Notamacropus eugenii: one gene and its partners. The protein of the gene in region 1 binds, or shares a complex with, the protein of each later gene. Links are inferred from orthologs where the notes say so. Each region holds a gene or a part of one and is shown in the gene's direction. Other genes may lie near its edges. The genes, in order: CDHR2, CDHR5 and ANKS4B.

The links.
Region 2: CDHR2 (region 1) and CDHR5 share a complex: the UniProt entries of both Homo sapiens proteins name them as parts of the IMAC/intermicrovillar adhesion complex. The link is inferred for Notamacropus eugenii from reciprocal best matches to the Homo sapiens genes CDHR2 and CDHR5.
Region 3: CDHR2 (region 1) and ANKS4B share a complex: the UniProt entries of both Homo sapiens proteins name them as parts of the IMAC/intermicrovillar adhesion complex. The link is inferred for Notamacropus eugenii from reciprocal best matches to the Homo sapiens genes CDHR2 and ANKS4B.

Annotation. Positions count from the first base shown.
Region 1 is NC_092872.1:413,156,997-413,166,996, forward strand, and holds the start of CDHR2 (cadherin-related family member 2), read left to right. Parts: upstream 1-5,968; 5' UTR 5,969-6,241; intron 6,242-10,000. UniProt on the Homo sapiens protein: Intermicrovillar adhesion molecule that forms, via its extracellular domain, calcium-dependent heterophilic complexes with CDHR5 on adjacent microvilli. Thereby, controls the packing of microvilli at the apical membrane of epithelial cells.
Region 2 is NC_092873.1:27,702,233-27,713,158, forward strand, and holds the start of CDHR5 (cadherin-related family member 5), read left to right. Parts: upstream 1-6,213; 5' UTR 6,214-6,308; coding exon 6,309-6,384; intron 6,385-6,627; coding exon 6,628-6,806; intron 6,807-7,006; coding exon 7,007-7,057; intron 7,058-7,143; coding exon 7,144-7,236; intron 7,237-7,335; coding exon 7,336-7,437; intron 7,438-7,657; coding exon 7,658-7,768; intron 7,769-8,114; coding exon 8,115-8,285; intron 8,286-9,052; coding exon 9,053-9,143; intron 9,144-9,283; coding exon 9,284-9,381; intron 9,382-10,926. UniProt on the Homo sapiens protein: Intermicrovillar adhesion molecule that forms, via its extracellular domain, calcium-dependent heterophilic complexes with CDHR2 on adjacent microvilli. Thereby, controls the packing of microvilli at the apical membrane of epithelial cells.
Region 3 is NC_092874.1:397,908,561-397,918,585, reverse strand, and holds the start of ANKS4B (ankyrin repeat and SAM domain-containing protein 4B), read left to right. Parts: upstream 1-5,826; 5' UTR 5,827-5,906; coding exon 5,907-6,070; intron 6,071-10,025. UniProt on the Homo sapiens protein: As part of the intermicrovillar adhesion complex/IMAC plays a role in epithelial brush border differentiation, controlling microvilli organization and length. Plays a role in assembly of the complex.

The DNA of each region.
Region 1 (10,000 bases):
CCTCCTTGTTTCCACTTTAGGAACTGGCCCTTCGGCAGTCGCAGCACTCAGATCCCACCTTCTTTCCGCCCTTTTCAAGGGCAAACTCCTCTTACAGAGGCCCGGTCCCTAGTCAAGCCTCTTATCCGAGAAATCAGGCAAATGCCTACATTGGGCCGGAGAGTCCTCGGGTGGCACCCAGGCAGTGGATAACCAAGAGAGGGTGTGGCCCTTCCCTTTCAGCAGTTATCTCGGAGGGGGTGGGGTTAGGAGAACGACGGCCTAGAGAGTCACCCGCCCCCAAGAACCTCTGCGGGCCCGAAAAACTACAACTTCTAGCGTGCCTTGGGCTCTTCTCTCCCCACTTCTCCTCCCCCCTTCCCCAATACCCCCAAGCCCCGCCACCGCCGAGCCCATTGCACACCGGGAGATGTAGTGCCCGCAGACCATGCCTTGGAAAAGATCCGATTTCACGCTTCAAGGCATTTTACAAAAGGTCTAGTAAACTCCCTGGCTTTGTAGGTGAGCATATGGAAGTGCCTGGGAAAGGGGAAGCGATATGTTCACGGAGATACAGAATTAAAGAATCAGAGACTGAAGCTGATGGGTTGTCCATCTACTAACTAGCTCTGACAGGTCCTCCAGCTTTTGCAGAACCCATTGTCTCTAGAGGCAAACTGAATAGTTTTGAGCCACTTTTGGTGGGCTCTAATCATAGGAGGCTTTTTCTTCCGTGGAGCCCAAATCTGACTTTCTGAAAAACTTCTGCCCATGGTTCCTAGTTCAATTCAGTTCAACACACGTTATTTACAAGCACCGTGTAAGATGAGAACGAAGCGGTCCTCGGAACGTATTTTACTGCGGGGATGCTACAGGTATGCATAAGTACCAGGTAATTTGACACAGGAGAGAGTACTAAACGACTCGGAATGGGGTGGAGGGGTGCAGATCTGGGAAAGCTGCTTGGAAGAGCTGGCACTTAAGGCTTCAAGGAACGCAAGTTTGCTGAGAACTGAAGAAGATAATGTGAATTCCAGTATGCAGGACCACCTGGAAGAAAGTGCAGGGGCGGAAATTGGGAGGTGGGGCACAAAGAGCCGCAGGTATCCCATTCTGCGGGAACGAAGAGTTTATGGAGGGGAAGAAAGTGAAATAAGGCTGGAAAGGTAGATTAGGGCCGAACTGTGGAGGAGTTTAAAAGCCAGACTGAGCAGTTTGCATCATAGGAAGCCACTGAAGGTATTGAAATACATTTATTTCTGCCTTATGGGGCCAAGCAGAATAGGGCTAATACCTTCCCATTGCAGTTCTTCGAATACTTAAAACAAGCAATTATGAATGAATGAATGAATGATGAATGAATGGATATGTATCTATTGAGTGCTCACTACGGGCCAAACACTATGCTGGGGGTGGGGGGCGAGGTGGAGAGCAAAAAGGAAGATGGTCCTTGACCCTGTAGTCTTTTTTCAAGTTAAGAAATTTAAACTGTTTTCAAGAAAGTCAGTAAGCAAACAGCTCTTGTTTGTTCTTTTGTTTTAAGTCGTGAGCAAATAAGCAGTTGTTTGAAGTGATTATTCCCACACCCTTACCACACTTTTGATCATATTCAAGAAATGACAAATTTTGGAATATTTTATCATTTTGGTAATTTTAAAATAACCACTATTGAAAAAAGTTCAGAAAACCAATCACAAAGAAAAACCAAAGGAATCATTTGCTTTAGAAAAAGACACACAAAGCTTGATATCTTGTAGCAAAACAAACACATCCCTGCAGTTATATCTGGTTTAAGGTAGAACCTTTAGTCACTAAATAAAATTGCTAAACATTTATAATAAAGCAACATCCAATATATGTTTTAAATTCTTCCTTTACTAAGTTGTTAGAAAGCAAGCTGCTACTTCAGTCATCTAGTGTCTCAGTATAAAGCTTAAAAGATGGGTTTCTAAGCCCTCACCAGTAGCACTTTTCACGTATACTGGTTCAAACAATTTTGTTGATGTTCAGTTGTCTCTTCCTGAACCTACTCGGGATTTTTGTGGCAAAGATCCTGGAGTGGCTTGCCATTTTATTTTACAGATGAGGAACCAAGGCAAACAGGGTTAAGGGACTTGCCTAGGGTCACACAGCCAGTAATTATCTGAGGCTGAATGTGAACTCAACTAATATGAGTCTTTCTGACTCCCAGCCTAGTGCTCTATCCACTGTGCCACCTAGTTACCCTGTGGTTCGAGAATATATAGCAGCTAAATCAGAGAAATGGAGTCACACTGGAGTCCTAAGCATCAAAGCCTGTGGGCTTTGCTAGGGACAAGGAATTCACCATACTTTTGTATAAAGTAGAAAAGTTTAAAGCTTTATGTGAGGAGGGATTCTGTCTCAGAATTCAGTGCAGCTAGAGTAGATACAAGATCCAAATGGGATACTGTTATTCACCTGGGAGCTGACCTCCCTTATCTCCCACCACTGTCTTTCTTTGGCAAGGGGTCAGTCCTTTTGCTCCTCCATCCTCAGAACTGTGTCCCTTTTAAGAAAGACATTGAATTCCCAAGAATCCAGAGATTCATTCCATAAACTTGACTTGTTTCTCCCCAGTTTCCACCATCCTCAGGTTGGCTCTGTTCTAGTTGATTATTCTGACTGAAAGTGAAGGTGGAGATTTTATCTAAGATGAGCAAAGGCCACAGAGGGGCAATGGGTTGAATTGCTGTAGGTGTGGGACATCAAGAAAGGAAAATAAGTGCTTCATACCCCTAGCTGAGTTTCTCCCAGAGGCCTAACTTGGTATTGTAAGGGAAACAGGGAGCAAGTGAGTCAGTGCTGAGTCCAAGGTTAATAGTTGCTCAGTCAGGATATTGGAAAAATACACCCATGTTATCCTTTCTAAATCCCCTTGAGGATACTCATACATTGGGAATGGCCAAATAAATTATCATATGAATATGATGGAATACCTTGAGAAACTACAAAAAGGGTGGTTTCAGAGAAACCTGGGAAGACTTACGTTAACTGATGCAGAATGAAGTGAGCTGAGCCAGAAGAACAATCTATACAATAACAACAGCATTGTAAAGAAGAAACACTTTGAAAGTCTTAAGAACTCTGATCAATGTGATGACCAACCATGATTTCAGAAGACTCAAAATGAAGCAAACATGCTACCCACCTCCTGACAGAGGTGGACTTGGGGTACAAAATGGGACAAATGTGTTTTTTTTGGACATGGCCAATATTTAGAATTTGTTTTGCTTGACTATGAATATTTGGTGTTAGGGTTTTCTTTTTTCAGTTGGAGGAAGAGATGAAAGAGATTTTTTTATTAATTGAAAAAAAAAATAAAATTCAGAAGGAGGCTCACCAAGATTCCACATGGCTTTAAAAAAAACTTTAAAAATATGACTTGCATTGATAACAATGCTCTAAAGTTTATGAAACTTTTTTTTGCAACAAATTGGTGAAACAGGTAATGCAGGTAATTACGTAGATTACATTATAATATTGGGAGACAACATATATGGAGAGTGGTGGACAGAAAGAAGTATTTTTGTTTGGAAAGTTACAAGGATGTTTAATGGAATTGTAGGGGAATAGATTGACACACTATTTCCAGTAACAATGAGTAAGTGAATGAAAAAGCATTTGTTAAATGCTTATTATATGTACCCAACACTATGGGAATGCATAGCCTGGATGGAAATACAAAAACAAAGAGATCTTACATTCTAATGGGGGAGACTACATATGCAGTATAAGAAAATGGTGACCATGGAAAGGCAGTTTGGCCCTCAGAAAATTACAAAGGGATGGGCCATAAGGAGTAGACTGACATACATCATCCAGGGGCAATTGGCAGCATAGATTTGGTCAAGGTTCCATAACTGCTTTAGACAAGGGGGAGGCCTGGTTCAGGGGTGGGTAGGAAGTAAAATGAAGCATGACTTTCCTGAAATAAGGGATCAGTAGAATCAGTCACTAATCAAAATGGCTTGGTCCTTTTTATGATGATTCCAGAACTGAAAAGGAGTGGGAAGGAAAAAGAGCAAAGAGTATAATCATGGTGAGATAACTGGTGAGAAGGTAGTGGGGGAGACCATGTTCCTCTTCACCTCCCAACCCAAATCTTCCTCAGAATCCTCAGTTTTTCCAAAGTATCTCAGGGTAGTGTGGTCTCCAGTTTCCTGTCCATCCGAGCTATTCTTTGAGGCCATATGACTCCAAAGCCAGTGTCTTGCTGTAAGATATTCTGGTGACATTGCTACATTGCCAGAGTTATGAGTGTTTGTTGTCAAACATTGTCAGTGTTTGACTCCAAGGAATCCCTATTAGGCAGATGTCCCAGAGTTTCTCTCATAGAGTCTGAACTTCAGGGGTCCTCCTCCCTGAAGTTCCCTTCCCCAACTGAGGCTACAAAACTGTGTCGTAGAGCTGAAGTCTGAGGCTGAGAGGGAAGACAGTATGGGGGCAGTGAACTTGGCCTTGGGGATGAGGAGACCTGTATTTTAGTACAGAACAGTGGTATCAAACTTAACTGGAAATAGTGTCAATTTATCATAAAGATCCCTGCAGGTCACATGTTGACTTAGTTTTAAAATGTAATGTTATCTATGTTTTATGGCATTTTTATTTGTTTTGTTAAATACTTCCCCTTTATATTTTAATCTGGTTCAAACCCTGATGGGAAGTGTTTTGTGCTGCAAGACGGCCTCATGTGTGACCCCGTTGGTCTAGAATCTTTCCCTGGTTCACTGGATGACTTTGAGGGAGTTGCTTTTCTCTGGTTTCAGTTTGCCTATCTAGAGAATGATAGTCTGATAGGTTTGGCTAGAAGAAAGTTTAATGAACATATAAGTACAACCACTTCATTTTATCAAGGTCCCCTCACTCCCAAACTCTTGTCCTTTCCATTTCACCATACCTCCTCCTCTCTTTCTCCCCTTAACAAGAAGAAGAGGAAGTTTTCACCTATAAAAGGGATATAGAAAGCACAGGATATATCGGACCTTAGAAGTCATCATTTGTTTTCAATGTGCCGCTTCCCATCAGTTAGCTTTTAATGGAGTTGATGACTTATGGGTTCAAGAGTTAATTACAGGTGTTGCCATCTCCAGTCAGTTCAGGAAGGATCACTTTGACTGAAGAGAAGGTCTAGATCACATCAGGCCCTTTTTTGTTTCTAGGAACAGGAAGGGAGGGGAGATCACTGAAGCCCAGGTCTGGGGCAACCTCAGGCTTTATGACCAAGCTGGTGGGGGTCTGGGAGATCTCATAGTCCTTGCCTGGACTTTGCAGGGGAGAGGAAATTGGTGAGCCCTGGGTTCTCTTCTGAGCGTTGTCTGGAAGACTCTGGAGATGGGGGAATCTCCTAGTCCTGAACGGGTTTGGTTTTGGGGTGTCAGAGATGATAAGGTGGAGGGCTTAAAGTCATAGACTGAATTCTCAGGGAGGGGGAAGATAGGGGAGACCACAGCCCCAGGCCATGCTAGAATGGGAATATTTCATTTGATTCTTTTCAATTATATAATTTTATTAATTATCTATTATGTGCAAAGATATGACTACTCTCCATGCTGGATATGTAAGAATTAAAAAAACTCCACCGTCCCTCAATCTATTCTTCATCATTTTGGTGACATATAGTCATCAAAAGGGCTTATATAAGAGGATAGTATATCGACAGAAATATGAAATAAAGTATGGTAGGCAGGACAACGGAGAGATCTTGACAAGGTCCTCTAGGAAAATTTGAAGGGAGAGAGAAGGAAGGGGAGAGCCAAGAGCTAACATCTGGTAGTTAGGCTTTAATGGGATTGATGGCTGGTAGGTTCAAAGATAAAGGCACTGGAGAGTAGTACCCAGGAGAGGAGGAGGGGAGGACTATAGCCCTGGGCTGGGTTCTGGGGAGGGAGGGGGAATGTAAAAAGGAGGAGATAGATGAGTGAAGAGTGTCTTCCTCTGACGCTGGGGGAATGAGGCGAGCTGGGAGTTAGGGGGTGTAGGGAAAAGAATGTGGCATTGTGAGTCCAGCGTATGGGTCTGACTCATTTCTCTGGCATTTACTACCTGTGTGATCTTGGCTTTAACCTCTGCGACTTGCATTTTCTTTATCTGTTTAAATGGAAGGGTTGGACTGGATGAGCTGAGGTTCCTTCCCACTCTGGGGCTACTATTCTATGTTCTGAGAGCCCCCCGCCTAGGCCAGGTTGTACTAGGATGAGTTGGGGCACAAACTGGCAGAACTGGGCTGGGCTCTACTGGAAAGGTAGGTGGGGAAGAACTGACAGATGTGCCATAGGGCAATTAGCAGGCTTGGACTGGGCTGTACTGGAGGCTACTCTGGGGATTTGGGGGTGGGGTGGGAGGACATTGAAGAAGGCTAGACTGCCAAACAGCTCACTTAACTGTTTTTGCTTCCTTGTAGGGAATAGGGCTGAGGGTTCAAGTCAAACCTCCAATTAACCAATCAACAAGCATTATTAAGCACCAGTTATGTGTCAGCAGTAAAGAATGGAGCAGAGGATACAAAACCAAAGGCATCCTGTTCTCAGGGAATTTACATTCTAATGATGGATAGGAAATGCACTTTAAGTAGGAATAAGGTATATACAACCTAAGCTAGAGGGATGAAGGCAGTGGGTGGCAGGTGGGCCAGATAGTTCTTGTGCTGAGTCCCAAAGGAGGCTAGGGACTGTGACAGGCAGAGGGGAGGCTCCTGGGAGCCCCCAACCATAGCACTATAAGGGACCTTAGAACAGAAACTGTAAGAACTAGAAAACAGCCTTAGAGTATACATTAAGTACAATATGTGGTTTTGCAGGTAGAAAAACAGGCTCAGAGAGGAAAAGAGAATGCCCAGACCTATCTGTTGGTGGGACTAGGGCTAAACAGAGTTCAGGTTTCCTGAGTCTTTCCACTCCTCCACGATGACTGTTTTTTGCTGGACTATCTGTTGCCCAGAGCTGGCAGGGCCTGGGTGTCTCTTTTCATTCTGAGAAATAGAGATAAGGATGAAAAAGATAAAAAGGCTACCTGGGACAGTTCTAAGGTGTGGGAAATGAAGGGTAATGGGTTGGAACAGTCATTCTTAGGTTGGTCTGCTTAATTGTGGCTGGCTCCAAAGGTCTGGGTATGGCAAATTAGCCACAAGGCTAGGGGCTTTTGAAGATGAGAATATGAGTCCAGAAGGTCAGGGGATCAGAGAAAAATGGGAGGTCAAAAACTATAGCATTCAGCCCTTGCCCACCTTGGTATCTGTGCTGGAGTAGAAAGGCTTTTTGTTTTTGTTTTATTTTTACTCTGAAACAGTTGTAGGGGTATAGATTAAAGAAAGCTTCTTGGCAAAGATGGCATTTGAGGTGGGCATTAAAGAAGAGGAGGGTCTTCTAGGTGGAGGGTGCTATGTGAACAAAGGTTTGGAGGCAAGAAAATGCACAGTGTTGGGGGTGGACAGCAAGTTGTCCAGTTTGGATCCTAGACTGTAGGAAGGGAAGTAACAGGAAGAGCAACTGTAAGGATAGATTGGGGTCAAATTGTGGAAAATAGTGGAATAGTGATAGTTTAAGTCCCTTCCAGCCCTAAATGTAGGGTCCTATGACTGTCAAGATGGACATAATTGAGAAGATATGAGAAACAGTGAAATGAATTGAGCCAGTTGGTTATGGAGCTGATAAGAAAGAGCATCTCAACTAATTTATTGTCCATGGAAGTGAAGAAGAGGGACATGAGAGGTGAGGGTGAGGAAGGAGTACCAGAGAACTGGGCAATTTTGAGTTGGGCAACAGAGGGGATCATAATCTTAATTCTCATTGCTGTAGTCAGCTAAGATTTCTGGAATACTTCCTTTACAATAACTCTATGAGGGGATGAATGCAAATAGTCCCCCTTCTACCCCCAAAGAGGTTGGAAGTTCCCAAAATGACGGGTAAGGGGAATCCCTGGAATTGCAGACTTGTGGGAAGAGCTAGTCCTCTCTTGGTGCCCAGCACCTGCAACCTCAAAGACTGCAAAGAATGGGCTTCTCTGGAGAGAGCCTTTTCTTCTTTAGCTGAGATGTGACCTTGCTCTAGACTTGAGTTCATTTACTCTTTTGTATTCTATCTTCTATCCTGGGAGTCGGGGACCTGTGGCTTCAAGGTCACATGTGGCCCTCTAGGTTCTCAAGTTCTGCCTTTTGCCTGAATCCAAACCTCACAGAACAAATCCCCTTAATAAAAGGATTTGTTCTGTAAAACTTGGATTCAGTCCAAAGGCCATACCCAAGGACCTAGAAGATCACATGTGGCCTCAAGACCACAGGTTCCCCACCCCTGTATCTATCCCAATCAGTGTACTTCAGTTTCTATTGTTTCTCTATGTTTCCTTATTGGTTTGTGTGTGTGTGTGTGTGTGTGTGTGTGTGTGTGTGTGTGTGTAACAAGCATTTGATGGGAGAGTCTTGGTCTGGGAAAGGACTACTTGTTACCCAGGATGACCAGGGAAAAGAGCTCTGATTCTAAACTCCCAAAGAGTAAAAGAGTCCCACCTGACTAATATCTGATGTATAGAAGACACACATAATTCTAGCCTAATATCCCTCTTGGAGATAGAAGAATGGAGAAGTGAGTGCCCAGCCATGGCTCTTCTCTTATTCCACTGAAAGGTAAAAAATCCCAGTCTTAGTTGGGGACGTAGAATAGGGCTTTCCAGGTCCTACAGCTCATATAGAGAGAAATCCCTGTTGGCCAAGGTTTAAATGGTTACAGTAGTCAACAGTATTATACCAATATGATTATCTCCATTTTGTGGACCAGGAAACTTCGACAGAGGAAGACCAAGCAAGTTATTCAGCATTGTGTAATTGTTAAGTATCAGAATGGGGGACCGAATTCGGATATTCTGACTCTAAGACTAGGGCATTTTCTGCTGCAGCATTCTGTCTAGTACTATTCATGGAGAGAGTATATTGGGATTGTTAAGGGAGTAGGGAAAAAGAGGATAATTTTATCTCCCTCATTTTGAATGGATTAATCATAGCATGGTAAAGAAGACTTTACAATCTTAGGGGGCAGAATATCAGAGCTAGAGGGTGACCATTGGAAGAGAGGAAGGAAGGGAAACAAACAAACATTTATTAAGTACTTATCATATGCCAGGCAGCTAAGAGGCAGTTAGATGGCTCAGTGGATAGAGCTTTGGACCTGGAGTCAGAAAGACTTGAGTTCAAATCCAGCCTCAGACACTTACTAGCTGTGTGACCTTGAGCAAGTCACTTAACCTCTGTTTGCCTTAACCCATTGGAAATGGAAATAGCAAACCACTCTAGTATCTTTGCCAAGAAAAATCCATGGACAGTATTGGTGTACTTTGGTCTACAGGATTACAAAGAGTCAGACGTCACTGAATAACAACAGTGTGCCAGGTGTTGAGCTAAGCACTTCATAACTATATCTCACTCAGTCCTCATAACAATCCTATGAGGTAGGTGCTATTACTAATCCCATTTTAAAGATGCAGAAACTGAGGCAGGCCTAAATTAAAGTGGCTTTCCCAGGGTCACACAGCTAATAAGTATCTGTGACTGGTATTTGAACTTAGGTTCCAGGGCTCTATTCACTCTGTCACCTGACTGCCTCTAAGGCCTGGAAGGGATGAATCATTGATTTTCTATGGGTTTGAATACAAGTCCTTCCTGTGCCCATTTTGTGTATGTGTAGCTGTCTAGATCTAGGATTTTTATCAATATAGGGGATTCTCAGTGTGTGAGTTTCTGCTGGTACAGATTGCCAACTCATTTGTGACATCCTGTCTCAGAGAATTTCCTGTAACACTGAGATCTTAAGTTACTCACCCATGATCAAGTAGCCAGCATGTGCCAGATACAAAACATGAACTCAGGTCTTCCTGATCACAAGGCTAACCCTCTATCTGCTGGTTCATGTTCCTTCTCTTTCCTTACTGTGTCTTTTATTAAATATCATGATTTTATATTTTGAAGCCTTGTAATCCCAAGTACTCATAAGAAGAATCATTGGGTACTCTAAGG
Region 2 (10,926 bases), on another chromosome or scaffold:
AGCCTCTCACTACACCTCAGGAGAAAATCCTTCAAGGAGTGACTAGACAAGGGCACCACCTGCTGGAACCCTGGTGACTGGCTCCCTCCACCCACAGACTTGTTTTCTGTTGTCTATTTCTGTTAAAGCATGCATTTATATATCGCTTTGAGTTTTGAAAGCCACTTTGCAAACATCCCATTTTTAAAATTATTATCTCTTAAAATATTTTGATGACTGTGTTGCAGCATAACTGGTTGCTTTTGGAATCCCATGTACTTCCCTTTTCTCATTTAAAACCAAAGGAATTTATAGGTTTTCGCCAACTTATCAGTCAATCTGTCACTCCACAAGCATTTATTAAGCACCTGTAATCACCATGCACAGTGCCAAAAGCTGCGGATACAAGGAAAGGCAAAAAACAATCTCTGCCTTTCAGGTGTTCCCAGTCTAATGGGGAGAAAAAGGGCAAGCGAGAGAGTTCACACCAACAACACATGGTGGTTCTGAGCTCTAATGGGCCAGAAGGATGGAGGAGTGAGCCACAGGAGGGAAGCTAGTGTGAGACAAGGCATGCTTTGGCCTTCAGAAGTGGGAAAAGATTGTATTCACTGAGTATATGCATTATAAAATAAGGAAGGAGGGAAACACCGATTTACTTTTTTTCTTTGGTCATCATGCCAAACACTTCCGTATCGGTCATGATGTGAAAGAAATTAAAAAACTCCACCTCAAGAAAAATAAAGAAAAGTCTACTTCAGTCTGTATTCAGACACTCTCAGTTCTTTCTCTGGGGATGAAGAATATCCTTCATCCTAAGGCCTTCAAAGTTGTCTTGGATCATTGTATCGGTGAGAATAGCTCAGTCATTCCCGGCTGATCACCTTATAATACTGCTGTCACTTTGTACACAGTGCATTTCACTTTGCACCAGCTCATGTAAGTCTTTCCAAGCTTTTCTGCTCATCGTTTCTTTTAGTACAATAGTATTCCAACGTAGTCACCTATGTCCAATTCTTTGCCCCCATAAATGAGCTGATAGAAATATTTTTGTGCATATAGGTCCTTTTCTTTTTTGTTTTTTATCTCTTTCGGGATAGAGACCTAGCAGCTGTCGGTTGGTTGTTGTCCTTGGTTCTTAAAGACCAAAATGACATTGTGTCTGACTGTGACTGATTGGACCAATACAAGAATGGTTCCCCGCAGGTCGGGCACAAAGAGTCCATATGAACATTTGGGGAGGATCCTCTAAATTTATGCATCTTGTATTCCTTTTGAACTGCTTCAATTCTGCTTCATTCATAAAGAACAGCATCTTCTCTGATGAGAACACACTATGCTAACTGGTCCTGTGTCTGTCTCCCATAATCAATTTCAAAGTTCTTCAGAGAGACCTTGAGAGTGTCCTTGTATCACTTCTTCTGACCACCATGTGAACGCTTGTCCTGTGTGAGTTCTCCATAAAAGAGTCTTTTTTGGCAAGCACACGTTTCGCATTAGAACAACATGGCCAACCAGGGAATGCATGGTTTTGTAACCCTTTGGGCAGAGTTCCAAATTGTGCTACACAATGGCTGAATCAGGTCATAACTCCACCAACGGTGCATTAATGTCTCATTTTCCCCACATCCCCTCCAACATTGTTCATTGTCCTTCTCTGTCCTATTAACCAATTTAATAGGTATGAGGTAGCACCTTAGAATTGTTTCAATTTTCATTTTTCCAATCAATACGGAGTTTTGTTCAGTTGGCTATAGATAGATTTGATTACTTCATCTAAAAACTGTTCATATCTTTTAATCGTTTATCAATTGGGGAATGACTCTTGCTTTTATAAATTTGACTCAGTTCTTTATATGTTTGAGAAATGAGGTCTTCACCAGAGAAACTTGCTCCAAAATTTTTTTCACCATTACTATTGCTAGTGGTTTTTCCCTCCATCCTGTCCCTCCTCAAGTGCTTTGCTTCTGACTGCTCCTTTCCCAATCTGCCCTCCTTTCTATCACCTCCCTTCCCCTCCTTTCCTGTAGGGTAAGACAGATTTCTGTACTCAACTGGATGTGTATGTTATTTCCTCTTTGAGTCAGCTATGATGAAAGTAAAGTTCACTCGCTCCCCATCACTAATTATACTCAGGATTATACTCAGTCTTGCTGGATAGGTTATTCTTGGTTGCAAAGCAACAGAATCCTGCCTCACTGCGTCCATCTCTCTGACTAGCTGCCGGCTCCCTTCCCTCTTTCCTGTTGACCTTACCTTCTAGGTTGTCTTTGGCTAGAAAGATTATTTCCCTCCATCCTTTTGTGGGTTCTGCTGCTCCAGGAATTGTTTTGGGACATTATTTAAAGGTGCTGAGAGGCAAGCACCTGCCTTTTCTCCACCGGCTTGGCTCCACTTCTCTCCTCTGAAACACACATTTATTAAGTACCTGTACAAGATGCCAGGCACTGTGCTGAGTACTTTACAAATATTATCTCTTTGGATCCTCATAATAATCTTGGAGGGGGGCGCTGCTATTATTCCTATTTGACAGTTAAGGAAACTGAGGCTGAGAGGATAAGTGACTTGCCAGGGTCACATAGCTAATAAGCCTCTGAGGGAAGATCAGTGCCACTATACTGTACCTATGGCATCTTTTCATCATCTTCCTAGACAAGGGAAGAAGGGCCATCAACAAACATTCACACACGTCTTTCTTTTTTTTTTTACTTTAAAATTTCTTTATTCTTGATTAAAGAATGTACACTGAGCTATTCACCAGCTACAAAAAATAAATGTTCAATAATAATTTCCAGAGCTGCATTATACATAACTCTGGGGTTCAACAAGTATCTTTTACAGTCAAATTAAATAGTATTTGAAATATATCAAGACATAAAGTTCACTCAAACTTCAAATAATGGTAAATGAATCCCTGAATTAAAAATCTCTGGTCTGCCCATGATTAACTACTTTAATTTACTACTGTTAAGTGTTAGATTTTTTTAAACAGTAAATATACTTCATACTTGTCTTATACTCAAATATGCCATGAGTCAAATTAGACCTCTGAAGTTACTGTCTTTAGTTACAGGACATTCACTTTATGGAGAAAAATGGCTATGGTTTAATAATAAAAAAAAAAATCTACAAAGGGATAATCAGTTAAGGGAAAGCAGTTATACCTGTTCACCTCTAACTCAAGCCCCTCAGAGCATTCTGATTGCTACACCTGTTTCTTACGCATAGAAAGACAACAGCGATTTCTTTAGCCTATCAATTCAGGAAGGGAACCTCTAGGTTCTGATGAAGACACCAAATATATGTTAAGTGTAATGTGTAAAGGAGACCTATGGGGAAAGCAAGGATTTTGTACTAAATGATACTCTGAACTAGCAACAACTATCAAAGTTAAATAGTTTTTTTGAGGGGGCAATTTGATGAAAACTGAGCATTTGGGGGTGAAATTCACAGAAATAGGCATAACTTGCACATATTCTACTCTTCTATATGCAGTAATTTTTTATATATTATTGTAGATTCCAGTTTGTGGTTTCTTCATAATTTAAAAAGCCACATGGGTCTTCAATACTTGGTATTGTTTATTTATTCACTTTCCCAAAGTATTCTTTGGAAGCATTCAGAGATGGCTTGATCGTAAGCGAATTTGGTGTCCAATTTGCTGGACAGACCTCTCCATGTACTTCCACAAACTGGAACGCCTTCACCAAACAAAGAGTTTCTTCCACACTTTGGCCCACAGGGAGATCATTGATACTCATGTGTTTGATAACTCCGTTAGGGTCAATTAAGAAGAGACCTCTTAATGCAAGGCCAGGTCCTTCAAGCAGAACACCATAGTCCTGGGAAATTTGTTTGGTTAAATCTGACAGGAGCAGAATATTCATATGGCCTAAACAACCACTATTTCTTGGTGTATTTATTCAGGCCAGATGGCTAAATTGGGAATCCACTGAAACCGCAACGACTTCACAGCTCACATCATGAAATTCGTTAGCTTTGTCATTAAAAGCAACAATTTCTGTCAGACGCACAAAAGTGAAATCAAGAGGATAGAAGAAAAGCACCAAATATTTGCCTTTAAAGTCATCAAGGCTGATTTCTTTGAATTCTCCTTTGACAACAGCTGTACCCTTAAAATATGGAGCATGTTGGGTTACAGCAGGCACATAAGTTGAAGAACTGGTGCTGAAGGAAAATTTTGAATTGGCCAGGAATGTGTTTCTAGCAGCAGCAGGTCTAAAGGCTGCAGAAATGCCCAAAGGAAAGGAGTTCACATGGTGAGCAACCAAAGCCCGAAGTAACCTTCCCAAGGAAACCACCATCTTCCAAGCCTCACACGCACTTCTTTGCCTCTCTACCCTGACCACCCCTCCAGCACAAATGCCCCCCTGCCCATAGAATCCAGGTAGGAACTCCCCACCCTCCTGGGCTGGGGGATGTTGGTGGTGACCCCATAGGCTAGCATGGACATTCCTGTTGGGGTGATGGGGTTGCCAGTGGAATCACTTGAGAAAATTCCAACTTTTCTAGCTGGTGAATGAAACAAGATTACAAAAGAAGTTACTGATTCAATCAAAGGAAAATGGGGAAAGCAAACCTAAGGTCTGGGTCTTGTGTCTTCTGAGACAGAGCACAGAGGCTACCTTTCTCCTGCTCACTCCATTGTCATCTTGCACTTTCTCAGGAGTAGAATGGTCTGCCAGCCAAAGGAGGCTTAAAGTGGGAGAGGCGGGGTGGGGGCACAGAAGGCAGTAATTATACTAAGTCAGCTGCCTGGGACCGGCCAATCCGCCAAAGTCTGGGGGGCATTCAGCTCTTTGGGAGTTTTCTTTGTACTCTGACTTTTCTATCTTTCTAACTTTGCTTAGAAAGGAAGCCTAGTAGCCCTGACCTCCTTAGCCTTGGAATAAAACCCTCTGTAGCTAATCTCCAGTGAACGTTCCCCACCTCAATCAGCCCCCAGTGGGTGGAGATAAGTATGATCAGAGAGGATCAATCTTGCCCTCTCTCTCCCTGAGTTCTAGAGCCCTGCACTTGGAGTCAGGAGGACCTGAGTTCAAACCCAGCCTCAGACATTTACTAGTTAAATGACCCTGGACAAGTTGCTTCACTCTATTTGCCTCAGTTTCCTCATCTGTAAAATGAGCTAGAGAACCAAATGGCAAACCCCTCTAGTATCTGTGCCAGGAAAACCACAAACGGGGTCACAAAGCATCAGATATGACTTGATAACAACAAACAGAACAGTCTGTGAGAGTCAAATGCCATCCTATCTGGACGTTTCTATGTATTCTCCAATGCTTAATACAGGACTAGGGAACTTACAGCCTCGAGGCCACGTGTGGCCCTCTAGGCCCTCAAATGCAGCCCTTTACTGTATCCAAACTTCACAAAATGAATCCTCTGTGCACAAATGCTCTGTGAAGTTTGGATTCAAAGTCGCACTTGGGAGCCATGAGACCACAGGTTTCCCCACTCCTGGCTTAACACAATGCCAGGCATATATTAGGTACTTGAGAAAGACTAGTTGACTATTTGTAAACTTTAGACCACTATAGAAATGTGAGTTACTGGTTTTGGTTGTTTTTGAGTGATTCAGTTCATAATGAAGAACAGAAAATTTCCCGAGCTCCTTTGCCAGAGGGCCTGTGCAGGTATCTGGGGGTCCATCCATTGCTCCCTCCCCTATGCCTGAAATGAGCAGCCTGATTCCCTTCCCAGCCCCAGCCCTGACAACCAGTCTCCCATACAAATGACCTCTCCTGTCATTCCCAGCTGAAGGAGGTCTCATCCTCTCACGTCTTCCCAAGGATTGGGCCCTCCGGGCACAGCAAGGGAACACAAAGTTCTTTTTTCCGAAGTTGAGGCCACTAACTAGTTAATGGTCTGAAATGAGGAGGGAGGGACAGGATGGATGCTCCAGAAGAACGGGCAGCCTGGGAAGCCCTCAAAGGTCCAGGGCGACTGTTTCATTTCCTCCTGTGTTCGGTGGAGGGACAAAGGGCAGGGATCTTCTGATTCTCTACAACCCAGACTCAAGCTTGTGTTCCCCAACACCTCCCCAGGGCCAGGGCCAGTCAGAGGTCGGCGTCCCAGGCTCTGTTCTGGGGTGCTGGGAGGGCTGAGACCTTGGGGGTGGGGGCGTGTCAGAGCCCTGGCTGTAGGTGCCATAAATAATCGTCATTTGCCCGTCTCAAAGGTCGCTCTCCGTTCCTTCGTGCCAGGAGAGCAGCAGGGCAGGGCCGGCTGAGCCAAGCCAGGCTGAAGGATCTTTTCTCCCCTTCCTCAGAGGCTCCCCGGGTGGAGGGCTGGGTTGCTCTCCCACCATGGAGGCCTCTGGGTGGACGCTGGGGCTTCTGCCACTGCTGCTGCTTCTCCCTGGAGCTGAGGGCCAGACCCAGGGTAGTGGGGTTGAAAAGAAGGCAGGGCTTGGGGGAGAGAGTCAGGGAGGCAAGGGAGATGGTGAAGGGCAGGAAAGGATGGGGGCTGGGGGGTAGGAGGGGCTGAGGGAGGAGAGGCTGGGAGCAGGGGGCTGGGGGGAGGAGGGTTTGAGGGAGGAGAGGCTGGGGGCAGGGATGGAGGGGGCTTCCAGGGAAGTTCAGGGGTTAGTGCTGATTCAGAGTGGGAATCCCCTCCCCCCCACAGTGTGCTCTGTGAATCAGACGCTGCTCTCTGTGACTGAGAATGAGCTCCCTACCGAACCCCTAGCCACGGTCACAGCACCCCTGGGGCAGACAGTGGTTGTGAGTGACTTATCCAGTCCTAAGGACATCTTCGATATTGTGAATGGTCAGCTGAGGCTCACCAGGGCCCCTGATTATGAGGTGAGCCAGGATCCAACCCCCTATGCCATCCCTTTTCCCCTTCCTGGGTCCTCTAGGTATTCCCCTATGTTCACCCCACCTCAGGCAGGGAGGCAGGAAGAGGGACCCCGCTCAATCTGTCACATAAGAGTGTGGATGTCCAGAGGCCTGGTTTGTTTTGAGAATGACTGGTTCTGCATTCCCTTCTTTCTCCCACCCAGACACATACCGTGTTGACTGCAATGTTAGAATGCAAGGAGGGGTCTGAAGTGGTGAGTGTGGGGGCTAGGCATCGGGATGGGGAAGTGGGTTGGACTGAAGGAATGACTGCTGACCTCTAACCCCTGGGTTGCCCCAGGTGACCACTCTGCCTGTGATTGTGGAGGTTCTCAATGTCAATGACATGGCCCCGGTGTTTGCCTTTTCCAGTAAGGCCTGGAATGTCAGTGAGGTGAGCTACACAATGCACAGGGTGGTGTGGTGGGGACTGGGGTTCAAACCAGGGATGGAGCTGAGCTGTTCCCACTCAAACTTCCTAAATTTTGGGCAGAACACCAACGTGGGGACTACTGTCATCTCAGCCACAGAACTCACAGCCATAGACAAGGATGGGGACACGATCTTCTACAATCTCTCAGGGCAGAGCCCCTCGGTCAGTTGACCTGGCTTCCTCCTGGGCACCCTCTCTCCCTCCCCCAACCCCTCCAGGACTCCGGAGCATCTTTCTCCCCCCAACTCCCAGTCAGACCCTGGCGCTAGGCTCCACTGGGGTATATGACTCAGCCACTTACCTGAGATGGGGGGGCGTTGGGGGGAAAGAGAAGGGAGCATTGGGTTCCAACTGGTTCCTGCCCCCTCCACTTCCACCTCAGGATGCAGACCTGGTTTTCTCCCTGGTTGGGGTTAACTTCCCTGCCCTTCAACTGACCCGGGCTCTGGACTACGAGAAGACCCCAATCCTGGTCTTCCACCTTCTGGCAAGAGTGAGTTCCTCCCCTTCCTGGGTCCCCAAGGAGTCTGGCTGTGTGGTTCTAGGTAGTCCTGGCCGCTGTCTAGGCCTTGACTTCTCCCTCTATAAAATGAGGGATGCTTCCTCAGGCTCTTTGAGCTCTATCTATGTGCTGGAGCCTTTGGGCACATAGGTGTCCTGACAGACCAAAACGGCAAAGCCTATGCCCAGTGACCCCCAGTTCCCAAGTAGACCTCTTTATCCTCTAAGACCAGGAGCTTTGAAGGGGATCATAGAAAAGAGTACCCCCGCACCAATATGGAGTGGTCAGTGAGGCCCTGCTGTATCCCACTCATGTGTGGCTGGGGTCTCTGCCACAGGACACTTCAGAGCCAGCGGTGAAGCCCAGCCACACCTCCACAGCCACAGTCATAATTCAAGTGATACCTGCAGACATACGCCCTCCATGGTTCTTACCCTGTGTGTTCACTGATGGGCGAGTCTGCATCAATGCACAGTACCGAGCAGCTGTGCCGACTGGCTCCATACTGGTAATGTCCATGCTTGGGGTGGGGGGCAGGGAGGCATCTCTCCTCACATGCTCTCCTAACCACCCATGCTCAGTAGCCAGAAGGGAGGGCCAGTGAAGGTCTCCCAAAGGGCTCCATTGATCACAGTGTCCATCCCTGGGGGCTCCAACCTGACCCCAACTGGACTTCAGAGAGTTCCTGAAAAGAGTGAGCAGTACCTGGACCTTCCTGCCAAGGAAGCAGGGCTGAGGCCACTGGTGGGCATGTCTGGGAGGATACAGGAAGGACTTCCTTGAGAATCTGGGCCAAATTAAGAGAGAAAATAATTATTAAGTGACTAGGGCTGGAGACTATTTCCATCCAGAGTCTGACACAGCTGAGATGAGGAGGATGAGAACCTTGGAGACTTTCAGATCCTTTGGAGACTTGTGCCCCGAACCTCATATTCTTGCATGTTTCTGACCCCGCTCAAGCTTGGGTCCAGTCCCCAGCCCTAATCATTTAATAACAATTTTCTCTCCTAATATGACCTAGTTTCTCAAGGAAGTTCCCTCCATAATCTCCCAGATGAGCCCACCAGTGGCCTTATTTCTGCCTCCTCGGCAGACAGGTCTGGGCACTGCTCACTTCCTGCAGGAAATTTGTACAGGCCAATTAGGGTCAGTTTGGGACTCAAGAGATGGACACTGTAGAAGGCTACCAGTCCTCTCACCTGGCCAGTCTGTGTGACTAGGGGAGGCTGGGTCAGAGACACCACCCCCACTGGTTCTCCTCTTACCTTCCTGTAGACATTACCCCTGACCTTCGAACCCGGGCCTGTATATGCAATTGATGGAGACACTGCCATCAACGAACCAATCAGATACAGCATTATTGCAGGTGAGATCCATCCTACCCCTGCCAACCCATCAGAGTCTAGGCCCTCTGTGCTGCCTGCCCACCACACTATCTCTGGGTGGAGGAGGGGGCAGGCACAAAGATGACTGAAGGTGACCTCCCTTCCCCCCAAACTTCCCCAGGGAATGCAGATGATACATTTCAAATTGACGTGGACTCAGGCAACGTCACCATGGCCAAAGCTGTCCCTGTCCCCAAGACTTTCAACCTGGTAGTCCAGGTGAGAAGCAGGTCTAGGTATGCTCCCCTTCTTAGCCTATGCCCTCCCCAACTGGGAGGGTGTCCCTCTAGCTGTGGCCTGGGCCCTCTGCTCTTCTCCCTGTTTCACCTGGAGATCTTATCAGCAACCATGGATTAATGACCATCTCTGTGCTGAGGATTCTCAAATCAATCTATCCTTCCCGCCCCCACTTCCCAACTGACCTCCAGTCTTCCATCTACCCTTCAGACATCTTGAACTGGACGTAGACATCTGAAACTCAACATGTCCAAAACTGAAGTTCTTTTTCCCCAAACCTTCTGTATTAGTGTGGAGGGTACCCTTCTCCTGGTCCCTCAGGGTCCCAACTTTGACTGGACTCCTGGACTCCTGACTTTTACCCCCCAGCTCCAATGTGTTGACTAAAGTCTGTAACTTTCACCTCTGCAGCATGTCTTGTAGATTTCACTTATCCAGCACCTCTTGTAGATTTCACCTCTAAGTATCTCTTGTCTTCTATTTCACTTCTGTCTCTTGTAGATTTCACCTCTAAGTTTCTCTGGTCCATTTCACCTCTAAGTATCTCGTGTCTTCTATTTCACTTCTATCTCTTGTAGATTTCACTTATCCAGCACCTCTTGTAGATTTCACCTCTAAGTATCTCTTGTCTTCTATTTCACTTCTGTCTCTTGTAGATTTCACCTCTAAGTTTCTCTGGTCCATTTCACCTCTAAGTATCTCGTGTCTTCTATTTCACTTCTATCTCTTGTAGATTTCACTTCTAAATATCTCTTGTCATTTTACCTCTGCAGCATTTTCTCTCCCAATATGCCCACTTATCTCCTCTGACCCTGTCCCCACCCTTGTGCAGGCCCTCATATCCTCACTCCTGGGCTATTGGAGGGTCTGTCTGCCTCAGTTGCTCCCCACTCCAATCCATCCTCCATTTGGTCATCAAAGTGATTTTCCTAAAGAACAAGTCTGACCATATCACCCCCTACTCCAGGAGGAAATATAAAATCTTTTTTTTTTTCCTGGTATTCAGAGTCCTTCATAACCTGCCTACTCCCTTTCCAGTTTTCCTATAACTTCCCCCCCACCCCCCACAGTACTCTTTGAGGCACAAGCCCCCCTACCTCTCAGCTGTTCCATGAACAAGATTCTCCATCTATGGGCTCTGGACACTTTCTCTGGCCATTTCACACTGCCCCTGACCCCAATGACTGGAACACTCTTCCTACTGACCTCCCTGGTTTCCTAAAATCCCAAATCCTACAGGAAACCTTCCCCAGCCCCTCTATTCCAGGACTTTCCTTAGATTAATTTCCAATTTATCCTGTCCAGAGCATGCTTTGTGTCTATTTACATGTTGTCCCCCACTAGATTGTGAGCTCCTCCAGGTCAGGGACTGTATCTCCAATGTTTAGCTTAGCTCCAGGCACTCAGTAGGTGCTTGATACATGCTGATGGACGGACTGCCTACCTTTTCGCATGGGTAGGCTCCAGGGGACCAGTGTTTCATGGTGGCCAAGGCCCTGGAACTGAGATCCAGAGCCAGTTTGGGGT
Region 3 (10,025 bases), on another chromosome or scaffold:
ATTCCATTCCACTCATACACCATAATTTGTTCAGCCATTCCACAATTGATGAGTGCTACTCCTTTAGTTTCCAGTTCTTTGCTACAACAAAAAAAATTGCTATAAGTATTTTCATACATATGAGTCCTTTCCCTCTGTCTCTGATTTCCTTAGGGGGTAAATGTCTCTTAGTGGTATGGTTGGTCAAAAGCTAGTGACTTTGGGCCTATAGTTCAAAATTGGTCAGCCCAATTCACAGTTCCATCAACAGTGCATTAAAGTGTCCGTCTTTCATAAACCTAGAGAAGAAAATTTAGAAGAAACTATTTCTTTCATACTTTGCTTTAGGTAGAGGGATATACAGTGTGCTTTCCACTCTACCATAAGTTGTCTGACTGGGCAGCTTCTAGCCATCAAAATTTACCTTCCTTTGGAGAGGAGAGGGAAGGGACAGGATGAGCTGAGTTACCCTACTGGCTAGGTCCCCATTCAGGCAGCTCGGACTACTCACAGGGTTGTTTGTCCTTAGTGTTCGAGGAGGATCATGACATCAGGGAAATGATGACATGACTTTCAGTTAGTTTTGATTTGAGTGAGTACATTGATAATGCATTTTTGCTTACTGTTAATATAATTTTGCTTTTTAATGGGAAGATCTTCCTTACCCATTAATGGACCTGGGAAGATTTGTAGGAAGGCTCATACCTTTTGTTAATTTTCTAATGAGGTATTGACTCTGAAGGGTTGTGATGCCCTCTGGCTCTAAAAAATGTATAAATACTCTGAGGGTGAAGTTTTACTTTGGGGCTTACTGACTGGAAGTATTTGTTTGGCTTGATGAGATTCTGAGAAGGCACTAAGCAGCCCCTCTAGCTTTGAAAACCCAGATGTTGGTGCTTCCCTTTCTGGAAAATATATCTGAGACTGTGACAGCCCTCCCCCCACAAAGAAGGGGTGCTTGTTGCTACAGTGAGAGAGGGCTGTGCAAGGTCACCAGCCTCACTTTCTCCTCTAGAGCCATCTGGATCAAGTGGCCAGATATTCATCAGGATGACTAGAGATGGCCCAGGATGCAATGGGAGACCCCGACCCTTTTTAGGCTAAGGCCTTGTACACAGAAAGGCATGAGGGACCGAAGAGAAGACAACATATGAGACTGTGGAGGTATGGATGGTAAATGAAACCATGTGAGTTGATGATTCACTAGTAGAATTTTTTCAGAGAAAAGCCAAGGAACCTAATCAAGTCATTAGCATCCTTTTCTATTGATAATCACTTGCATATTATTTTAAGTTTGATTTATAATTCAGTCTGCCATAGTGAAAGAAAATGGCAGCCAATAAAAGCTTTAAAGAGGTCATCTATTCTGTAATTTTACATGGATTTTGATGACCTTTGTTATCTGAAAAGGGGTAACAAGTATATGATTATCCTGATTGAGACTTTCAGGTCAGAATAATTTATTGGTATGAAATCTGAAAAATGGAGAAGAAAGAGAGAACTTTCCCTAGATCACAAAAGCCAATTAATTGCAAATGTAGAATTAAAATTCATAGCACTTACTGCGAATGTCTCTTCTCCCCCCGCCCCTCTCCATTTTTCTTCGTTATAAAGCACATCTAAATCATGAGAGGGTTGGTTTCTTTCTCTCTTTTCTTTTCTTTTTTGGCTGGACTTAAAAAACAAAAAACAAAAAGCCCTCTTTATTGTTTCTGGTCCTAATTAGACTGTAATACCGTCTGGGATTTAGCATTTTTAAAATATGCAGTTGAGAGATGCCAAATAATACCTCATGCAAACCAGATGGTACAATAGCAACTTTGTCTTTTATTCTGGCAGGAAAATAGGACTGTGAATAGTTTGAAACTTATGTGAACAAATTAAGTCCCACCAGCCCTTCAGAAGCGTTAAAATTCCATGAGTCAATCTACCCACCTAGTTTTTCTCTTACATTTTAATATGAAAGAGAAAAAAGAATGGGTAGGCAATGGTAATGATGTGAGGAAAAAGTGTCTTTTTACATCCTTTTAATAGGAAAACAAGGCAATTATTCTTAGTATCTGAAATCTTGTGAACAAGAAAAGTCTTATTCAAGTTGGTTGAAACAGTTTTGGCCGAATGGCAAAAAAGAAAACAGAGATCTAGCAGTCATTTTCTGAAGAGTTCATTTGACAACAATGTGCTTATCTGAACAGATAATGAGATTTTATAGGATAATGCACAAGTTCACAACAGATTGCAAGGTAGCGAAGTGAGGTATTGTTTGTACTTTCCTATGGGTCATGTTGTTAAGGGTTTTTTTTGAAACTCCTTTATTTCCTGGTTGGTTTTGCCTTAAATGAAATACAAAACCAAGGCAACATGAATTGAAAGGCAGATTTCCTCTCATTGCCTTTTTCCTTATTACCAAAATATGTGTGGGTTTCTGTTCCATGCAAGCAAGTTTCTTTTATAATCAGAAATGAAAAGCTTTAGAGACTGGAGAGAAACTGCTTATTGAAAACTAGATCTCTTGAGGGCAAGAGAGAGTATACTTATTACATGAATATATGTATTTCTGGGCCACTCAAGCCACTGAATTTCTCTTACAGTTTAGCAATGAATAGCTTTATAAAACAAAGGGAAAAAAATCTAGTTGGAAGTTTGCTAGCAAGTTTCTCTCAGGGTGGATTAGAAATTTGTACACATATGAATTTGTAATACCCTTTGCTTTCTTCTCTCTGTCCTCCCCACCCTCTACCTAAATGACCACAAAGGAATGAAATACCTTGCAGTTCCTAATAAAATAATTTTACTACTGCTACTTTTAGTCAATTCAAATTGGACTCTTTAATATATCTGACCCAGAATGCACATGCTCATACTTGATATCTTTCCTTTAGTTAGATTTACAGGAGAAACTGCAAATCTGTGGGAATAAAAAACCCTGCAGACTAAACCCTGAATTGAAAAAGTTAGTGCTGGCACAGCAAGAGTTACCAGTTGAAGATATGGGAAAACCTACCAAATTAGATCACTTCAATTAAATCAACTAAATCTCTTTTTTTAACCTTTTCCCATGGCCAGAAGTGGCATTAAGAATGGACTGACAAGCTATCCCATCAGTCAGGGTTGGCCAAGTTAGAATGATAAGATAATAAAAACAATACGAACAACAATAATGCATCTTTTCAAAACACAGAGAAGGTAACTGGATATCAGAATTAGGAAGAGACAGCAGAACACTGTCCAAATACACGGCTGAGTCTAACCAAAGTTCCAGAAGGAAATTGAATGCTATGAAATTGCAGCAACCAAGCTTGACTTGAAAGAAGAAATAGAACAAGGCAGTTCCTTACCTTTTTGGAAGAAGTGGAGGATTATGAAGTTTGAAATAATATTGACAATGTTGGACTTTTTTCCGTTGTGTTGCTTTGTTGAACTGATTTCTATCTTTTAAAAATTTTTTTGTTATAAGGATAGCTCTCTGTGAAGGGAAGGAGGAGAGAAAAATTGGGAAATATAGGTACTGTAAAAACAAAAGATACCATAAAATTTGTTTTGGAAAGAAATGCGAAAAAAATATTGGATTTTTTTAAAAAAGGAAAAACAACAACAAGAAATTCCACAAATTTTTTAAAAAGAAATAAGAAAATTTAGAATAGAAAACAGGTCTGAGATTAATCAATAAACCAGAGCTTCTACTAAAGAATTCAGCAAAACAAATGAGTAAGTAGGTAGTTAATAAATGTGGATGGGTGAAAGCCAGTTTGATTGATAAGGCCGTAGATGCCCCCCACAACCCCCAAGCAAGTATACAAAAACCCAGACATTAAGCTCCATTTTCAACCTTTTCCTGGAATGGTACTATTAGAATTAAATTTCCTTTTTCCCTTCTCCTCATTTCTAGTTCCCTGCTCATGTCCCTCCTTCTTCATTAGGTAATTTTATAAATACTCTCACTTTTTGGGTTCTATAGAAAACAAGTCAGCCTTACCTTGGTAAGATACTGCTTCTTTTCTCAAACAATCTATGAATTTTAGCCTGAGGGTTTCTATCAACTGAAGTATGGATCCTTCCTCCTCCCACCCCTGCTACCTGGTGCTACCCCACTGCAGGTACAGGGGCTGTACATTGAGATTGTCCCTGAAATCAGCTTTCTTGCCCTATGAGGGGAAATAAAGTTTATTAATTCTGTGTAGGATGATGCTTTTCATCTAGATTCTCCTACAATACAAAAACATATGTCTATAAAACCATTGAAACTGTAAAAAAGGAATGAAAGATTTGGGATTCAAAACTATAGATAAGGAAAATTTGGTAAAACAGAGCCAAAGGATAACATCGTTAGAAGAATTCATATTCTACAAAAGTCAAACTGACCTTGAGAAAAGGACTCAGAGATAAACTGAGGATTATTGATATCCTGGGAAAATGTTATTGATTTGAAAATTCTGACTACCGTACTGTAGGAACAATGCATGAAAATTATCTAGGAATATTGAAAATGGATGACAGAGTTCTGATCGATGGCAATCCTGGAGGACAGATAAGATCTTTAATCTCTAAGCAACACAGTAGTTAAACACCAAATTTCAATGTCTAATAATAGATACTGCAGGCAGAAAAGAGAGAGGCTTTTAGATATTAGGGAAAAGCTATTCAAATAACCTTTGGAATATGATATAATATCCCTCCCCCACCCCAGCCAAGGCAATCAGAATCCATCCCAAAATATGCAATGTGGAGCATCTTCATCAATAACAAAAGATTTCACCAAAAAAGGGACTGTAAAAAGAAGTGCTATTGATGCCTTTTTCTTGTTATATCACAGTCATTCAAGACATTCTTTCTTTCCCCAAAGCTTTCTCTTTCAAAGCCTTCCCAAAGAAAGCTATTGTCATCATTCTTTCTAAAGACACCAGAGACAAACAGGTTACTTGATCTAGAAATACTTCAAATGGGAGAAACGCAAGACAAGTAAATAAACAGTTAAGAAGCAAAAAAGAAATCCATATAATTAACAAATTCTCTCAAGGTTTGGGGGCAAGATATGGATATTGTTTTGGTTTTGGTTTTTTTAAAGAAAATTACATTGGTTGAGAGACAAAGAAAGATTATCTAGGGCCAAAAGAAATTAAAATGATTAAAATAGGAATGACAGTAAATTTAAATTGTGTGGATTAAAAGCTTCTTCATAAGTGAATCAACATTTCTGTTCGATTCATTCTTCATTCCCAGGTTAGCCATAACCCCTGAACAAAGTTAGCCTGCTCTAGGAGAATTTGTTCCTCTTTGCAACCAAATGACTCAGTTATCTCAAATACTCCTCCTACTGTTTACATGGCAACCAGGAAAAGGATCAAAGGTCAGCTTAAATCTCTAATTATTGTTGAGAAGTAGCTGAGAACGGAAGACCCATGAAACGTAAAAGCATCCCCCTGGAATAATGTCTTCTTTGTGACAGTGGGGGACAGAGAAAACAGAAGAGAGGAAAGCATAGTTTAAAAAGATACTTTCCCAATAAAATCTGGGGAGTAGTGCTAGATTATATGACAATGAAAACTGTCTCCTTTTGTTCAATGACTATATTGCCTATGTCACCTTTATGATAATCAGTTAGTGATGTAACCTCTGTTTCAGTTCCTTTTTCCCCCAAACTGTAAAATACTTGGGAGTGTGAAGGAAATAAAATAACCATTGGCAGCCATTCTGGAAGGAAAATTTCCTCTGTCAGATCTAAGTACTTTTCTGGCTTCCTCCAGGGAGGCAGACAGGTGATGAGCTTTGCCCTCATATTTCTACCTTATTGAAGGTATACTGCAGTTTATAGTCACTGATTAACCCCTCCCATTGAGGCAGGGCTGCTGGGTAGGCCTCTGCCTGGCAGAAGACTTAGGGCAAACACTCTGAGTGCTGGCTGAGGTAAGAGAAGAGCTGAATTTAAAATGTCCACCCGGTACCACCAAGCTGCGACTGATGGCTACCTGGAAATTCTGAAAGAGGCTACCAAGCGAGATCTTAATCTGTCTGATGAAGATGGCATGACTCCCACACTCCTGGCAGCCTACCATGGCAACTTGGAAGCTCTGGAGATCATCTGTAGTAGGGGGTAAGTTTAGACTATAGTTTTTGATAAAGGCCAAGTTACTCAGGGGATTTTTTCACATGAGAGTAAAGTAAATGGCACGTGGGACAAATCCTACAAGTCTTTCCTGAAGTCTTTAAATAACTGCCTCCTTGGGAAATGGGGAAATCCTATAGTTAGCGCCTCTTCCTTGTGTTTTACAATTCTGAATGACAGGCCTATCTCAATAATAATGATTGTGATAATAATAATAGACATTTACCTAGATCCAGAAATGCATTTTTTTTTAACCATTGAGCTGATGCTAGGTTTTTTGTTTTATTTTGTTTTGCCATTGAGGATGGAGCAAGATGATCTGGTGATAATGGCAAAGAATAGATGATGTTTCTTTTATAAGCCAGAGACACTGGAATGTGTTGCCAAGGATAAATACTTAAAAATCTTTGCTGAATATTTTCAAGACGATAAACTCCGTGTATCTGGCATGATTTTAAAATGCAGTTTAAATGAGTAGGAGGTGGGGATAGGAGAGAAGCAATTCTATTATTTTATGAATCTTTTTACCCAAAAGTAAATGCTCAACTTTTAAGAAGTTCTATTTCCAAGAACATTACCAGCATAAATTCCAGTTTATAGAATTTTTATTTTCTCTTCACCTATGAAGTCGCTGGATGAAGTTGTTCCCTTCTTGAAGATCTGGTCCCTGACACCGTAGCGAGACCCAGTTTCAAAGTTGGATGGCAGGCTTATTTATGAGTCAATTAAATAAGCTATAAATAGGACTTTGAGTTTGCCTCACTATGGGAACTACTTCATCCAAAACTAGGCCTAAACAATGATCTCTCTTTGTTCTAATTGAGGCATTAGCAATTTGCTTAATTCTGAGGACCACCAATAGAACTAAGCAGTATATGTGTTGGGGGGAGTGCAATAAAGGGGGAGGGAGGGAGGGAGGGAGGAAAGGAGGGAGGGAGGGAGGGAGAGAGGGAGAGAGAGAGAGAGAGAGAGAGAGAGAGAGAGAGAGAGAGAGAGAGAGAGAGAGACAGAGAGAGAGACAGAGACAGAGAGAGAGAGAGAGACAGAGAGAGAGAGAGAGACAGAGACGGGGGGGGCATTACACAGAAAGAAAGGAGGAAAGAAATTGAAAAGATGTTTATGATGGAGAATATCAGGGTCAAGGCCAGCCCTAGACATAGTGGTGAAATTAGCAAAGTTTTACGTATTCTGTTCAACTTTGACATTGACTTCCCCCAACTCCCAATTATAGGGATGTCTCCCTTAGTCTGCTACTCTCCTGCTGTTCCTTGACTCCCTTACTCCTTAACCTTTCTCTGCTTCTCTGTGAAATTTATTTAACATCTACTCTCATTAGTTTCAAAGATGATCTAATAAACTAGCTTTCCCCAATGTGCTAATGGAAAAAGGCTTAAAAGCCATTCTGAGGTAAATTATATTAATGGGAGCTTTTTCCAGCTTTGTCCTCTAGTCCACTTGTAATCCACAGGTGATGATTTCAGATCAGAAAGGTAAGAATAGTTTTAGGCACTGAGCTTTCCATGCACCTCTAGGATGATGCCTATCCACTTATTTTCATATAGGATTAGCTTTGGGCAGAATCATTTCTTCAGGATCTACCTTACTCCAAGTACAGAAAAGAAAATAATCAAGGTGAGGTTACCACAGAATTCCTTGTATTCCACTGAAGATGCTAACTAATTCTCAATGAATAATAAAACAAGATTCAAAAGCCAGTCCCTACCAAAAAGGATTATTCACTTAGAAAGAGAAAAGGGGCCTTAACAAAATATAAGAACATTGATTAGCCAACACAGCACAATTGTGTCAGATTGTACGAAAGGTATTATGGGATGAATGGTAGCAAAGGGGGAAGATGAACCACTTTCATTGCATTATTCAAATCAGAAAAGAAAAGTAGGGGAAAAGAGTTGGAACCTCAGCTGAACACTTTCAAGGACTGCCAATCTCAGCACAATATATGACAAGGATTGGGATTAACATAGGGAGTTATAGTGGAGAGATGAGAGTGGGGAAGGAAAGGAATATGAAAAAGGAAGAGAAAAAATCATATACCTGAAATTTCATTCCCCAGGGATCTTTAAGAATTGGAGGAATAGTTGTCTAGGATAATTTATGTATAATCTTTCCTAGAAGCAAGGGTCTAAACTAACTGACCTTGAAGGTCCTCCATTCCAGCCTCAGAATTGAATAAGTAGATTCTTAGTCATATCCATAATGTGATAGAAAACATTAATGTGACTCAGTGACCAATGCTCTTTGACACAGGCACCCTTTGCCTGTGACACTGTCACATGGACTAAGTGACCAATAAAGAGATTGCTTTATCATCCCAAACAGCTTAGTCCCATTATCAGCTCAGCACATGTCCCAATTCAGAGATGACCTAAGGGAGATCAGTTCAGCTGCATGCATATTCCATGGGATGACCACCATTGCACATTTAAGTATGGAACTGAATAATACTTATCTTGACCAGCTTACTATAAACAGAATTAGAAGAAAGAAGTTGAAGCTGAGTGTAAGGATGGTTGATAGGTATTCCTTGGTGAGACAAGGGCATTGACAGTTGGTCTTATTAGACATTCCCAAACAATAAGAAACATCAATGCATAGAACATTTGGTAATCTAATATGGTGCTCAAGATAAGTAGTTCCAAAAAGATCACTATGAAAACAATTATACCTTATGCACTAACATTTATTGTACAGAACAAAGAGAAAAATTACAGTAGAACTTGATAAGATCTTCCAAAGTAAATCAGCACATACTTGGTTACTTAGTGACTTCAATGCAAAGGTAGGACAAGGTAACAATGACAAGAAATATATTGAAAAAAAGGATCAGCAAAAAAGAATGAAAGAGTACAAAGATGAAGCCTTAAGCCTAAATGCCATGATTTTCTTCAAGAAAAGATTCATTAAGCTCTAGACGTGGTGAGAACCAAACAGCATCACAAAAGAATTTATTATCTTTTTAATAACTGGAAATGCTTCATTACTAGTGTGGGAGCAATTCCTGACCAGTCAGTCTGTAGACTTGTGAGATCAAAGATCAAAATGAATACAACACAAGGGGAAAGAATAAAAGGAAATAAAACATATGGAATGCAGTTGAAACAATTTAAACCTGACTTATAAAACAAGTTATTTTATAACTTGTTTATGTTATACAAACAAGTTATAGGGAGGAGAAATGAGGCTGGTGACCTTGCACAGATTTCCCTCACTCAAAACAAATTCAAGTACAAGTCACATCATCATTTCTCTGATGGCATGGTCTTCTTCGGCAACAAAGAATGAACCCAATGAAAAAGGTATGATAATGGTAGGAAGGGCATTGACACAGATAATAATTTTAACTTTAAACCAATTATCATAACATGGAAACTCAAAGAGTCTAAAGTCTTAGTCAGCAAATTCTTGATTTATTCACCAAAGAGAAAGAAATAGTAGCCAGAGGAAGCACTAACCTAGAATGAAACTCATTTATAAAATCTTGTTTAGTGGATGATGCAAGATTGTGAGCAGTATATACTGATAAACCAGAGAAACAGTGGACTTTATCAGAGAGAAGCAATATAGATTAGAACCAATTTAAAGAAAGTTTGACAATAGACCCAACCAAACAAGTTCATCCCAAGAAAATTAGGGATGAGAAAGGAGAGAGAACAAAAAATTTAAAAAATGAAAAAGATTTATAAGGATTTTTTAAAATCACAAATATCTTTCATCAATAAGGACAGAACCACCATACTTATACTCATAGAGGAGACAGAAATGATGCTAGAGAGAAGCAAGGTGGGAAAGCAACTGGATTGGATCAAGTATACATTGATGAGATTGATTCTGGAAGTGACACAATTATGAGGACAGGATGAGAGCAATTCATCTCTAGGCAAGGAAGATACCAAAGATACAACTATTTTTTGCATCTGTGAGA